2 linked regions of the Caenorhabditis elegans genome follow. The protein of the gene in region 1 interacts with the protein of each later gene in a pairwise test. Each region holds a gene or a part of one and is shown on either strand. Other genes may lie near its edges.

Evidence for each region.
Region 2: the proteins of rps-19 (region 1) and abu-15 interact in a two-hybrid assay, tested with the Caenorhabditis elegans proteins (one large-scale study listed by BioGRID).

The regions. Positions count from the first base shown.
Region 1 is NC_003279.8:9,622,538-9,629,980, forward strand, and holds rps-19 (Small ribosomal subunit protein eS19), read right to left. Parts: upstream 3,260-7,443; 5' UTR 3,255-3,259; coding exon 3,044-3,254; intron 3,001-3,043; coding exon 2,831-3,000; intron 2,630-2,830; coding exon 2,570-2,629; 3' UTR 2,531-2,569; downstream 1-2,530. Other genes in the region: T05F1.2 (F-box associated domain-containing protein), read left to right, coding at 85-162, 219-670, 716-1,178, 1,232-1,494, 1,541-1,827, 1,873-2,069; Protein hsr-9, read left to right, coding at 3,738-3,762, 3,930-3,966, 4,014-4,080, 4,125-4,553, 4,602-5,807, 5,855-5,963, 6,012-7,051, 7,098-7,312 and 1 more.
Region 2 is NC_003283.11:5,154,576-5,162,332, forward strand, and holds abu-15 (Activated in Blocked Unfolded protein response), read left to right. Parts: upstream 1-4,026; 5' UTR 4,027-4,047; coding exon 4,048-4,272; intron 4,273-4,319; coding exon 4,320-5,261; 3' UTR 5,262-5,332; downstream 5,333-7,757. Other genes in the region: srx-38 (G-protein coupled receptors family 1 profile domain-containing protein), read right to left, coding at 1-45, 92-315, 691-851, 903-941; srx-39 (G-protein coupled receptors family 1 profile domain-containing protein), read right to left, coding at 2,078-2,183, 2,226-2,356, 2,399-2,610, 2,655-2,878, 2,944-3,104, 3,147-3,185; abu-6 (Activated in Blocked Unfolded protein response), read right to left, coding at 6,103-7,044, 7,093-7,317.

The DNA.
Region 1 (7,443 bases):
CAGTTTTCCTATTTTGATGTTATCCTCGCTTTTTTGCCGAGATGTTGTTTTTCTCTGTTCCATATTCACAAAGAAATCTCAAAAATGTGTTCGCCGATGAGTATTCCGAAGAAAAAGTTCATTGACGACTTCACGTTTATCTGTACAAAGAATCCCAACGTTGTAAGTAAATAATTGTGCATTTTTGAACAACTTCACATAAATAAACATTATTTCAGAAACTTGCCGATCAAGTTAAGAAATTGAACGAATACAAGCCGTGGCGGGATTTGCCAATTCTTGACAAAATCAATTATCTTGAAAAATTCTCCGAAAACGAAAAAGAAACATTGAAGGGATTGTGGCACTGGTTCAAAAAATGGATCGAAGCGGAAAGAATCCTCGTCTCTGTGAAGATTGGCTCTGAACGGGCAACAACTACGAAAACTAGATTCGATGATGATAATCGTGCTAAAAAATTGGTTCTTGATGTCAAAGACAAGAAGCAGAAAGGAAAGAAAAATAATGAACAGTTTCTACCAAAAACGTATGTCAAATACAATGCTGAAATTGGCAGAGTTAAGACATGGGACATGAAGGGTAAAGAAGGAGAACATAAACAGGTGAAGGTCTACCAGCTTTGGCATTTTGACTTCTCTGAGCAACACGATGGACGATATTTCTGTAGAAGGTAAATTCTATGAAAATTGCCCTTTCTGAAAAATAAGCATTGCAGTTATATCAAGAAGGTTGTACCTGAAGATTGGCCAGTCCAATACCCAACAGCTACAAACCCGTTCCACGAGGAGTTGGGAAATCAAGGATGTATTCATGAAACCGCTCAGTATCTTTCCCAATTCATCAACATTCACGACGCGAATTTTGTCGAAAAACTAGACATTGATGTCAAATACTGGTCTCAGCTCTTCTCTATCGAAAAGTTCAGACACATCCGAAATCTCAGAATAGTGCACAATGCGCCTGGATCAACACATTGGTGGCTGAACAGAATTAACACAATGCGAACTATTCCAGAAGTAACAATTGCGCGAAACTATACTGGAGACTTTGTTGAGGAAAAGGAGTATCGTAGTAGAAGAAATGCAGTCATGCACCATGAAGTTATGCCGTACGTGATTCCATTCGAAGAACGTGAGATGCCGAATTGGGTAGAGAAGACTTCGTATTGCAATTATCCGGTAAGATATTTTTAAAATATTATGCCGATTTAAATAAAACATCGTATTTTCAGATCTTCTGGGCGAAACGAATCATCTTTGAGAATACTATTGAGAACCCTCTTACCGATTTGGCAAGAATGAGCTCGTTGGCTGAGGTCAACTTAAACCGTTATATTCTTCCGAATTCGGAACTTCTCGAATTTCTCCAAATGTGGTCAAACGGACAGATGGGTCACCGTCTGCGGAGTGTCACTATCAATCTCGATTGCCCGTTATCAAAGAGCGAACCGATTTTGAATGGTCTCCAATATTCGAAGACAAGCGATATTGAGTTGTGAGGAATCAGTTCTTTGTGGCAGTTTTGATTATTCTTAATTCAGATCGTCTCCGCTTACGAAGGCTGTTGAAAAGAACAACTATATTTCGTACGTTCTATATCGTGAGTGGAAAGTGTTGCGTCCCGATGGCCTGCAATCGACACGTGGTTTTCAAAAAGAATCTCTTTCGTCTGGGTATGGAAGCTCTCTTCCTGGTTCCGGACCTTCGACTCCTCCATCGGAATCAAATATAGAAGAAGCAGGAGTTACTCCGACGAACGCCGAATCCAAAAACATGTCCTCAGGGCAGCACAGTAAACAAAACTCAAGTGATGAGACTCAATCTCGAGGTTTATTTCTAGATAATTATTTCTAGTTAAAAGTTGAATTTTTAGACCGATCTGGTTCGGGTGTATCAGGAACTTCATCGAATGGCGAGGTATCATCTACTCCGGGTAGGACTGTTTGGCACGGAGGTGCGTGTGCATTGCTCCAGATTTCCCAAGATAAGAAGAACATTTTGTTCACGGCAATTCACAACGAGAAGTTCGCATGCGAACTTGCTAGATTCCGCTTTTCTACATCTAAATAAATGTCCACCAACATTCATTTAAAAATTGTATCTATCGTTGTATGATAACTAATCTTTAAAATTTTTCCGACTTCCAATTGATCGCAAGTTTGTGAAACCATAAATAGCTTAACCCTGTATTTTATTTTCTTTATCAGAAATGCCTTTCGCGATGTTTAGCGAAATAATTTGGGTATCAGAATAGGAAGTTAGTTTCTGCTAATAATGTTTCAAATTTGATTTCGGAAGAGCAAGTAGATATATTAATGATTGTATTCAAGTTCTGTAGCTTTGTTCTAAGGTCCACTAAAGACGTATAATATTTTGTAGACTGATTATTTCACTATTCAAAAAAGTGAGAACTATACAGGTGTATATATTCAAACGTTTCGGGCGAAGTTTTTCTTTAATAACTTTTTTTTCTGATTCATAATTTGCGCCATCATCTTACTTTCTTGTTAATGGAGATGTATCATGAAGTTTTTTATAACAACAACATTTATAACACAAACAACGAGTGTTTAGGCTTGTTGTCCAGAGGATCTGAGGCTGGTGGCGATTCTGTCAAGATCCTTGCGTCCCTGCAAAATTTAGTTTTAGTACGATGTTGAAAATTTCGAGAAAATTCAAAAAAGAAAACATGCAGAAATTTAATTTTAATATAAACATCTAATTTTGCATGTTTAATTTTCAGCGCATATATTTATGAATAATTTTTAATAATTTATTTTTACAAAAAAGTTCGAATTTTATATTTTTAGATAATAAAATAGAATACTCACCTGCTTGGAGAGAATTCTTCCTTTGCCGTCTGGGTGCTTCTCAACCCACTTGATCTTCTCGAGTTGCTGAACAGCCTTTCTGAGGCAGTTTCCAGCTGAGGTTTGGAAATGGTTTGGTGCAACACCACGTCTCTTGTTTCCTCCGTAGACCTTCTTGAAGGCTCCGATTCCTAAATAGAAAAATAAGTAATGATTTTGTCAATAAAAAGTTACCGGCGGGGCGGAAATACAAGTGACGAGCAAGACTGGCAGCACGGGTGTAGAACCAATCTGGATCGACTGGGGCAAGCTCCTTGTTGACTCCGAGCTTAACAAGATCGGACCACTCTGGAACCTTAACCTTTCCACTCTTCTTCAAGAAGTGAGCGATGGACTTGGTAGCCTCGTGCTGGTCGACGTCCTTGATGGAGGTCGCTCTCGTCATTTTACCTGAAAAGGAAAAGTATAGCTTTGAAAAAATCGTATATTAGAAGACGGAAAGAAAACCCACTGCCAAAAAAACTATTCTTAACAACAAGCGCTTCAGAAAGTGGATATTATTTAAGAAAACTGTAAACGTAACATATTTCCTCCCAATCAATACATAGAAACTCGAAAAACCGTGAAAATCGCGTCAAAAAATTGAAAAAACCTGTAGGAAAAGAAACGAAAAAATTCTTCACCGCTGATCGTAAGACATAACCTGCATACCAATTGGCTGCGTAGCGACTCGGCACGCGACCGCAACGCACCGGGCGACACTCAGTACATTTTTTGAACAGCGGGGGCGGGCGTTTGAATTGAATTTTCAAACGATTTTTTTTGACGTCGTAACTTTTTGTTTCGCAGACACTTTTACGCTTAAAATGGCAAAATTAAACACATATGTTACAGCATAGACTTGAAGAACTGAACTGCTTGGAGGAAAATGGCATCGTCTTCGAACACTATGGGTAATTTTTTCGATATAATAAGAATGTGAAAGGTTAATTAATATTTTTGCGGGTCAAGCATATAAAATTCAACCTTATTGAAATTAAGGTGGTCACTCGAAGTGAATATCGACTCTAAAAATTAAACTTAACTTACGTGAAGTTTTCCTTTTATTTTCTGTTTTCAGAATTCGAAGAAGACGACTCCACCGTCACACAGACAAGGTTACCTGCTTTTCGAGTATCCATACATATTTATCCCACTATTTCAGCCTCCCCACAACAACTTCAGTTCTGGATAAAAGTAGGAGTCTTTTTGGGAACTCTGCTGTGATTTCTGTAAGTCCAGTGTGTTTGTATTAATCTAAAATTTGCTTACTTAGACCCCAGCTAGAGATTCAACTCCTGATGGGCACATAGTCGATTCGAGTGTCATTACCAAGTCATCAGTTATCATAGAAGCGGAAGACGAGCCAGATGTAGCTGCCGATGTTACTGCACTTGATAAAGAAAAGGCAGAAGATGAGCCACAATGTTCAGCCGGTAAGGATGCTAAATCTGGAGAAAGCATGAACGACTCGGAAAAGTCTGAATCACCAATTGAAGAAGGAGAGGGAGAAACTTTCGAGAAAAAAATTATCTCGATGGATACTAGTGACGATAAATTAGACATTGCTGAATCGATTTCTGTTTCAAATGATACCGAGAAACCTGAAGAAAATGAAGAAAAGGTGGTTGGAGATGAAGATGAAGAAGATATTGATGATGTGCAAGAAGACGACGAAGACGAAGCTCCAAAAAAGAAAACTAAGGTTTGTTGATAATTCGAAAAACCTAATTTTAATCAATTAATATTGAAGAAGGCAGTGTCAACGTCAGATGACGACGATCTGCATGAAGATGATTCTCCAAAAGGAGGTAGTGTGAGCGACGAGAAAGAAGAACCAGAGAATGAGGACGATACAGAGGAACCCGAAAATGAGGTTGAAGTAGAAAGTCCAGTGAAAGAGCAAGCAGATAGTGGTGAACCTATTGAGAATGTTAATGATGACAAGGCGTCTGAACCAGGCGTTGGTGAGATTTCACAAGACAGTGTTGATGATTCTCAAAAAATTGGTCTCGATTCAAAATCGCCAGATGGAGAATCAGAAGCAAATGAAGAGAACCAAGAATCTCAATCTTCTAGCCGCAGCACTCGTCGCGCTAAAAGAGTTTCAGCAACTGTTTCGTCTACTCCTTCGTCAAACACTCCACGCCGTGGTGGTCGTGGGCAAAAATCGGAAGTGAATGCAGATGAAACGAAAACGCCCATTGTTAGTAACAGCACCCCCAGGCGTGGTCGATCTTCCAGGGGTGGAGACAGAGATGAAGTAATTGATCCTACGGAGAATGTTGTTGGCGACTCTGGCGTTGAAGAAACATCACCGCGCAAGGGAAGATCAAGACGCTCTGTTGCAACAGAAGACACATCTGTCACCGAGGAAGTTGAAAACACGGAACATCCAACTGAAGAAGAAACTCCGAAACAGGGGCGTGGAAGACGTTCAGCTGCATCTTCTTCAGCAACTTCGTCTGCAGTGCCAACACCGCGGTCCACAAGAGGAAGAGGAAGAAAGTCGCAAGCAAATGAGGAAAACTTGCAAGAAAAAGAAACCGAAGACCCTACAAAAACTCACGATACAAACCAAGCGAAGTCCACCCGAACTCCGCGAGGAAGGCGTTCTAATGCTGATGCTGAAACTATGGAAAGTGTAGAAGCTGAGAAAGTCGAAACTCCAACATCATCTCGTAGATCTACAAGGGCTAAGCCTCCTGCAAAATCTGCTCCGGTGACGCCGGCTGTGACAAATAAACGAACGACAGTTCGTGGAAGAAAGAAGCAAGGTTCTATCACAGAAGACCCTATCGAAGAAGCTGATGAGACTATTGAAGAAACTCTACCACAAAAGAAAGGTCGTGGAGCAGCTAAAAGTGCGCCTTCATCGAGCAAGAAAAGTGCAGAATATGATCCATATGATCTTGATACTGAAATGGAGCATCATCCAGAACCTTTGAAGAATATTCACGTGAGAATTAAAAATTAATGTTTATCTGTAATTTTGCTTGTTTTCAGATGGAAGTGCACAATTTTGGTGCTGTCAAGTATGCCAAATTGGGTAATTCAGAGTCAAAGTATTCTATGACAGAGAAGGCGGCAGAGTCTAGAATTGCTGAGTTACAATGTAAGTTGTTTTGTAGTTTCTTGAAATTAAGAATATCTATGCTTTCAGCTTCTCCTGCTGCTAAGAATCGGCGTTCTCTTGCTGATATGACTCCTGGTAAAGATAAGATGAAGCATAGAGTATCGTCTGTAGGAACTTCGGGAAGAAGATCAAGAGCTAAAAAGGAGGAAGAACATCACGAAAATGATATTGAAATGGAAGATGCGCCTGCAACTGCTACCCCAGCTTCGTCAAATCGTGGAAGAAAGAGAAAAAGTGAAGCTTCTGACATCAAAACACCTCCGGCGAAAAAAGAACCAGTTATTCCTCTTAAAAATCTATCTGATGAGGATCAACTACTAGTTGATCATCCACAAGACGATAATGAACCTCATGCTCCTGGAGCTCGAGTCTACGCTGTGTTTCAGAAGATGTTTTATCCCGCTGTCGTTCTTTCGGAGCGTGATGGTCTCGGAAGATACAAGGTACAATTCACGGTTGATAACGTCATTAAAGATGTTCCAAATTCTGGAATCATTCCACTTCGCGCTTTATCCCCTGGCAAAACTGCAGTCTACAACGAATCCGATGTTCGATTGGATTCTGGTCCTAACGATATTAGTGCTGCGGAATGGAAAAAAGGAAAATTAACCATATCGATCATGGATGAAGATGGGGAACCAACTGACGAAGTGAAGGTTGTTGATTGGTATGATGTTTCTTTCGATCATTCAGAATGGCGAGACTATGTTAAAAGCAAAGATCAAAGTGCTACGGCTATTGTTACGTCTAATATTACTACAATATCGGAGGCTACTCGTGCTCGTAAGCCAACTACAGTTTCTAATCAAGCAAAACCAAAAGGTCGTAAGAAGAAGGGAGTTGATCTAGTTTCCTCTAGAGGAGGATCAGCAAGTCCGGCTGAAGAAGAAGAAAAGCTTTTGCCAATGAACGAGGAAGCTATTGGAAAGAACATTTTCACCGGAAAGGTCTTCATGCTAACTTCGGCCAATCGTTCAAATTCTGCGAGTGTTCCTTCAATGTTCAAAAAGAAGAATCTGATGAACTTCATTACTCAGAATGGTGGGATCGTCACGGAGCAGCTTAATGTAAGATAACGTCTTACAAATAACATTCTAATCATTTTATTTTAAGAGCTTCCAAGAGCGTTACTCCAACTACGAACCATTGCTGATTTCTGATACGTACTATCGTACTCACAAGTACTTGGCAGCTTTAGCTCGTGGTGTTCCTTGTGTTAACAATACATGGTTACAAGCATGTGGTGAACAGGGGAAATGTGTCGACTATACGGACTATGTTCTTCCTGCAGGTGCTTCAATTTTTGACGAGTCTCAGGATATGCCAGCGTAAGTGAACTTTCATGATGAATGATTTCAATTCCGTTAGATTTTTGATTTTTATAACGATTCTGAAAATTCTGATCATCGAAAACATTTAAGGCCCAAAAATCCATCAGAGCTTTTGAAAGGAACAACAA
Region 2 (7,757 bases), on another chromosome or scaffold:
ATTGAAATGCTCGGTATTCTGCGTTGTAGTAATTCTGGCAGCCCACTGAAAAGATGACTTGGTTTTTTTAATTGATAATATGAAAACTTACAAATTTGAAAGAACAAAGTGATAAGTATAAACGAAAGTAAGTAGGTAGCCATAACAATTAGTTTGGTAAATGTTATACTGAACATTTTATGATAAAGAACTGGAGTAAATACTGCTAGAAATCTGTTTAATGATATTATAAAATGAAAATATGTCGAAGCATCATAGCATATCATCAAAAAGTACCCACATAGATGGGACCAATAGTCCAGGAATTCGTTTTGGCTGAAAATGTGTAGGAATACTGTAGACTGGAGTACTGTAGGGTTACTGTAGTTTTGAAAAAAATGAGTTTTTGTTTTTTGAAGGAATATCGATATGGGGTTTTTGGAGTGTCGTCGAGTAGCAAAAAACATTTCAGCGGGATTTTTTCAATTTTTCAAATAATTTTGGCGGGAAACTTAATTTTCTTTGAGAAACTACCGCACTACTATGTAGATATACGGAACTTCTATAAAATTCGAGACATTTCTGTAAGATTGCCCAAAAGGCAATTTAACTGGATTATATGTATACATTTTCAAATTAAATTTTTTTGGAAAAACCAAAAAAAATACCTATTCAATTTTGCCCGACATATTGTTTTATTCAAAAACTTACAAAAACACCATAGGAGTTGCGTAAAACAAGTATAAAGTTGAAAATACTCCATCGGCAATTGCCAAACCAACAGTTAAAATAGCAAATGGTTTTTGCAATTTTGTAACCTTTATCATTAATATTACGATCGCCCAATTTGTGAAAAACCCGCATGAAGAAAACTGAAAAAAATATTGCTAAGTTGGAGAAAAAAAGTTCGAATTTCAGCTCACCACAATCATAATTGCAGCAACTATTTTTTCCGAGATCATATTTCGAAACAGAAAACAAGTATCCTAGACCAATAGATATTTTGACCTCAATCCACTTCTATTTATTGGGTGGAGTCAGTGCCACACCTGCCATTTAACGAGTACCTGCAATGAACCGAGCTCTGAGTTGATTAAATAGAAGTGCATGACAGAGTGAGGTAGAGATGTTTTGATTTTTCAATCGGTTAAGGTTTGTATTGGAGATTTTTTCGTAGACATATTATTTAAGCTGTTAAAAAAAATTTAATAAAATTCATGTTGTTCAGAGAAAATTCCTAATGTACGTATTACTCATCGTTTATTATACCCCTAACAGAACAATTAACTACCACCCTTTCTTGTTTACGTGTAATCGTCTCCCCACACAGTTTAAATATTCTCTAGTTTTTTGTTTGGTTTCACACACAAGAAACAATTCAGAAAGAATTAAAAATGGATGTTTCAAAAATACTGTTTTATATATACTATAGATTTGGGAAGGATGCAAGTTTGAATTCCCTTCCAATTAATTTCCTTCCACTCATTTTTGAACCAATCAACTTGACACAGTTTATCTGATTGGCTCCAGAAGAGTGGGAGGAACGAATCACTGATTGGCCTTACTGTTTTCATTTTGGGGGAAATTCAAACTGGGAGTTCATTCATACTCAAATTTAAATTGGAAGTCTAATATGAAAATATTAAACTTCCGTGGTGATAAAAACAGAAATCCTTTTTGTGCTCCATATAATTAAAATTTAATAAACTAGCTGGCAAATAAGTGGCGCAATTACCAGATTTTTTGCTTTGATTTTTGCATTTTCTATTCATTTTTGGTTATCTTATAAAACTATACATTGATGTACAATTTATCTAAGGAAAAGGAACAAAACCATTGGAGCACGCACAAAGTACCATATTTACGATTTTTTTTGATTTTTTTCCACTTTGATGATTTTCTTGCAGCTTGTTCTTAGAAGATGGGAACAAATGTGACTTTGATCATGCAAATCATAAATTTAAAATGTACATATTTTTTCTTTACAAGCACATGTTCTGAACCAAAATTCATGATATAAAAATAACTCAGTTCCTAAAACCCTAGACAATGACAATTGGCTTGAGCATTACAATTCCACTAACAAAGACCTCTATTCTTAATCCAATGCAGCCGATTTCGATCTAACAACGTTGAATGCCAGTGGCTGGCCGCTTCTGGAACAGCTCCTTCGGATTTCTGGATTGAAAATCAATGTGAAAAACCTAAATTAGAACTTTTTGAGTATTTAGAATATTTACAATTACCCATCAAACATATGCACTGAAGACCAGAGAATAGAAGAGAAAATAAAGGTGTAATCAATGTCTGGAATAAAACGCGGACCCCAAGTAAAACTACAAACGATTGCAAGAACAAATAGAGTTTGGCTTATGGACTGAAATTATTATTTAAAACAATCTATAAAGATCAATATTACCTGTTTCAACAAGCTAAGTTCTTTTGAGTGCTTTTCTGTTTTTGAGCTAATTTTTAACACTTTTCCGATAGCTAAAAAGTCCAAAATAGTACTGGAAATAGTCAATGAAAAAACAAGATAAAAGTCTAAATAAGTTGCATAAAAACGACAAACGTCTCCTCCAGAATAACGAAATGCTCTTGTTTCTTGGTCATAAAAATTTTGACATCCCACTGCAACTCTCCCGTCAATTTTAGTTGACATTAAACTAACCTACAAATTTGAAAAAATAGTGTTATGATTGTAAGTGCGTAGGAATAAATTCCCATTACTATACAAAACGTGAACAAAACACTAAACATCATACGATAAAGCATTGGTTTATACACTGCTAGAATTCTGTTAAGGGATATCATGAAATGAAAAGTTGTTGAAGCACTGTAGCAAATCATAAGAACATATCCACAAACACTCGAATAATTTGATAAAATATCGCTCTCGCTGAATGGAATTTTTATTTTAACTGTTGGCCTCGCTGAATGAAAAAAAAAACTTGTTCAACTTACAAAAATACCATTGGAGTTGCATAGAATAAGTAGAGCGCGGAAAATGTTCCATCAGCAATCGCTAGACCAACAGTTAAAATTGCAAATGGTTTTTGCAACTTTGTAACTTTTATCATTATAATCACAATTGCCCAATTTATTGTAAATCCACAGAGGGAAAACTGAAGGTACATCAATTTGTTTGAGCTACAATAAAATCTTACCAAAAGCATAATTGCAGAGATTGTTGTCACGGAAATCATGATTGTAATTTGCAGCCAACAGGAAATGAAAAAGTTAATGTTATGAATGAGAGAGAAATATCTGGAAAAATTGAAACTTTCTTGTCAGGCTCGAGTCACCTGGGCCGGTGGCGTTCAGCTACAATACAAACATAGTTTCTTTCACATTTCGCATAGATACAATTTATTTTTAAAAAATCCGTTAGGCTATTAACTAAATGTTTTTATACCTAATTTTTTAAACTTTGAAATGTGTTTCAAAGTGAGTTCAAAACTAAAATTTCAAACTCTAGAGATCCCGGAAGCTAGGAAATCCCAGAAGCGAGGCAGCAACCACTGTAGCTCTATACAATCAAATCGAAAAAATGTTCGGGTCTGAAAACCAACTTATGTCATGCATGACAAATCATGTAAATTAAATTAGAGTCGAAATTTGTCGTTCTTACATGTCTACGTGTCTATGTGGTTCATTGATTCTTTTGATTTTCGATTAGCTAGAACGGTTCAAAAATTTAAACAAAATTAAAAGATAAATCTTATAAAAATAGATTGCTTATCGCTGTTTGCCCTTGAAAACTAGTTCTCATGTGCGAACCTTGCGTGAACAAGGTCATAGAGCAAACTCAAACAAGACCTCTCTTCTTTGCTTGCGCAATACTACAATTTATTCCTGTATTAGCTCGGAGTTTTTTAGTGACTCGATAGCTTACTTGAAGCTTTAGGCGAACGCTTTTGCGCGCGGCCGCAAGAGAGAGTCACATTTAGAAGAGGATCAGGAAATTAGGAACTGGAACCGGTTTACTGAGCAGCTGGAAAAGTCATATAAAAGAGAAGAACAGAGCTTCATTACCATCCGATTTCCTCGGTTCGAATCATTATTAAAATGCGCTTTACTTCACTTTCTATTGCGTTCCTTGCATGTGCCCTTGTGGTATCTGGAAGTGCAATCCGTGAAAAGAGACAGTGTGGATGTGCTCAGCCACAGCAGAGCCAATGCTCGTGCCAACAAGTTCAACAGACTCAGTCATGCTCGTGCCAATCTGCTCCAGTTCAACAACAATCCCCATCCTGCTCATGCGCTCAGCCACAACAAACTCAACAAGTTCAGGTACAGTTCATTAACATATTCGCAAACCATTAAATCAAAAATTTTAGGTTCAATCTACTCAATGCGCCCCAGCTTGCCAACAGAGCTGCCAACAGCAATGCCAGGCTTCTCCATCAGTGTCCCAGTGCCAGCCACAATGTCAGCAACAGTGCCAGGCTCAATGCACTCCAATGTACAACCCACCAACCACTACTACCACCACCCAAGCTCCAGTTGTCCAATACCAACAGTGCCAACCAGTATGCCAACAGCAATGTCAATCTACCTGTGTTCAACAACAACAACCAGCAGCTCAATGTCAGCCACAATGCCAACAACAATGCAATGTTGCCTGTGATTCCCCATCCACTACCACCCAGGCCCCACAAGTGATCCAAATCCAACTCGAGATCCAACAAGCTCAAGCTCAATGCCAACCACAGTGCCAGCAACAATGCCAATCTTCATGTGTCCAGCAACAGCAACAATCCAACCAGTGCGAGCCAGCTTGCAACACTCAATGCTCTGATATCTGCCAACAAACTGCTCAGGCTACCCAACAAGTCTACAACCAGAACATGAACCAGAACACCAACACTCAAATGTACAACCCATACAATACCAACACCAACCAGAACGCTAACTGCGCTCCAGCTTGCCAACCAGCCTGCGACAACTCCTGCACTTCCCAGCAGACTCAGCCAATGTACCAACCATACGACACCACCACTGAAGCTCCAGCTCAAGTCATCCAGATTGTTCTCCAGACTTCTGTTGCTCAATCATCCCAATGTGCCCCACAATGCGAACAATCCTGCCAACAGCAATGTGTTCAGCAACAACAGCCAGCTGCCCAGTGCCAAACTGCCTGCCAATCATCATGCTCTAACTCATGCCAAGCTGCTCAACCAGCAACTACTGCCTGCCAGCAGAGCCCACAACAGAGCTCCTGCTCTTGCCAAGCTAACTACTCTCCATGCGGAAATGGACAATGCTGCCGCAGAAAGTAATTTAATTGTTCCTGATTCTTGATTTTTGTATATACCGAAACAATTCAGTTTCAATAAACGCATAACTTTTTAAACCTTCTCGCTTTAAAAATCTGACGTGACATAAAAATAACCAGAATAAACCAGTTGTTTTCGAAACACAACATGTTTATTTAAAAACTGTTAGCGTCTCTTCTTCGACTACATTTTTAGAAAATCTCATAAACATTTGTTCAGTTGGCATTGATACAGGTTTACGTATGTTCTATCTATTTCTGTACTCATTGAAAAATGCTCTCATCAAAGAAATATTTATAGAAAAGTTAGATTTACAAGAATTTTCTAGCTCGCCAGCAGGAGTTTAGAAACTAGAGATTAAAAAAAAAAAGCTCACTGATGAAGTATTTTAAATTCAATTTAGTTTCAAATCGTTTAGGTTCACGACTTTACGTGTTTCACTACCACACTGTTCCTTCATTACGAAAAATGTAATACGACCTTAGAAGTTAAAATTTATTTTAGCTTACAATTAAAATTGCTACATACTTTTTCTGATAATACTTGCGAGTGATAACTTTATAGCGATATATCAAAAATGTTTTCCATTTTCATTAAAATTAGTTTTACTTTTTTAGACAATCTGGTATCTTGATATGCAATACTCGTTACATTATTATTTCAGGCATTCACTTTAATAATATTTCACTGTTTCCGATAGTAATGATTATGCTAGTTTGTGAACCACTTTTCATTATACAGTGAAAACTTTGAGATTCTGGAAGACACTTTTTAAAAAGTTATGCGTTTATTGAAACTGAATTGTTTCGGTATATACAAAAATCAAGAATCAGGAACAATTAAATTACTTTCTGCGGCAGCATTGTCCATTTCCGCATGGAGAGTAGTTAGCTTGGCAGGAGCAGGAGCTCTGTTGTGGGCTCTGTTGGCAGGCAGTAGTTGCTGGTTGAGCAGTTTGGCAGGAGTTAGAGCATGATGATTGGCAGGCAGTTTGGCACTGGGCAGCTGGCTGTTGTTGTTGAACACATTGCTGTTGGCAGGACTGTTCGCATTGTGGAGCACATTGGGATGATTGAGCAACAGAAGTCTGGAGAACAATCTGGATGACTTGAGCTGGAGCTTCAGTGGTGGTGTCGTATTGTTGGTACATTGGTTGAGTCTGCTGGGAAGTGCAGGAGTTGTCACAGGCTGGTTGGCAAGCTGGAGCGCAGTTAGCGTTCTGGCTGGTGTTGGTATTGTATGGGTTGTACATTTGGGTGTTGGTGTTCTGGTTCATGTTCTGGTTGTAGACTTGTTGGGTAGCCTGAGCAGTTTGTTGGCAGATATCAGAGCATTGAGTGTTGCAAGCTGGCTCGCACTGGTTGGACTGTTGCTGTTGCTGGACACATGAAGATTGGCATTGTTGCTGGCACTGTGGTTGGCATTGAGCTTGAGCTTGTTGGATCTCGAGTTGGATTTGGATCACTTGTGGTGCCTGGGTGGTAGTGGATGGGGAATCACAGGCAACATTGCATTGTTGTTGGCATTGTGGCTGACATTGAGCTGCTGGTTGTTGTTGTTGAACACAGGTAGATTGACATTGCTGTTGGCATACTGGTTGGCACTGTTGGTATTGGACAACTGGAGCTTGGGTGGTGGTAGTAGTGGTTGGTGGGTTGTACATTGGAGTGCATTGAGCCTGGCACTGTTGCTGACATTGTGGCTGGCACTGGGACACGGATGGAGAAGCCTGGCATTGCTGTTGGCAGCTCTGTTGGCAAGCTGGGGCGCATTGAGTAGATTGAACCTAAAATCATTAATTTAGTAGTGTTTGAAATAAATGCATAAAAGGTACCTGAACTTGTTGAGTTTGTTGTGGCTGAGCGCATGAGCAGGATGGGGATTGTTGTTGAACTGGAGCAGATTGGCACGAGCATGACTGAGTCTGTTGAACTTGTTGGCACGAGCATTGGCTCTGCTGTGGCTGAGCACATCCACACTGTCTCTTTTCACGGATCGCACTTCCAGATACCGCAAGGGCACATGCAAGGAAGGCAATGGCAAGTGAAGTAAAGCGCATTTTAGTAATGATTCGAACCGAGAAAATCGGATGATAATGAAGCTCTGTTCTTCTCTTTTATACTACTTTCCCATACCCCCACCCTCTGTACCAGACCTGAAACTTCTTGATTTCCGCTCTTCCGTTCACTTTTCGTCTATGTGTCTCTCATTCTCTTTCCGGCCAAACTGTTTGCCTTATAAAAAAGTGTTCGTGTAAAAAAAGGTGCGGTGAGCATTAGAATAAACTCTCTAATCAAACAAACGTGTGTCGAGGAAAAAGGTGAAAACTGGTATGTTGCAAATTGGAAACTTTAATTTTGGAATGTGATGTTCCTTGATCTACATTATGTTACGGAATCGTTTATCTGAAGTGAATTTTTAACGCTGTTTTGTTTTCTTAAAGTTTCGGAAATATTTTATTTTAGGTTTTATTCAGCTTGCGGCCTTCCTTCAAATCTA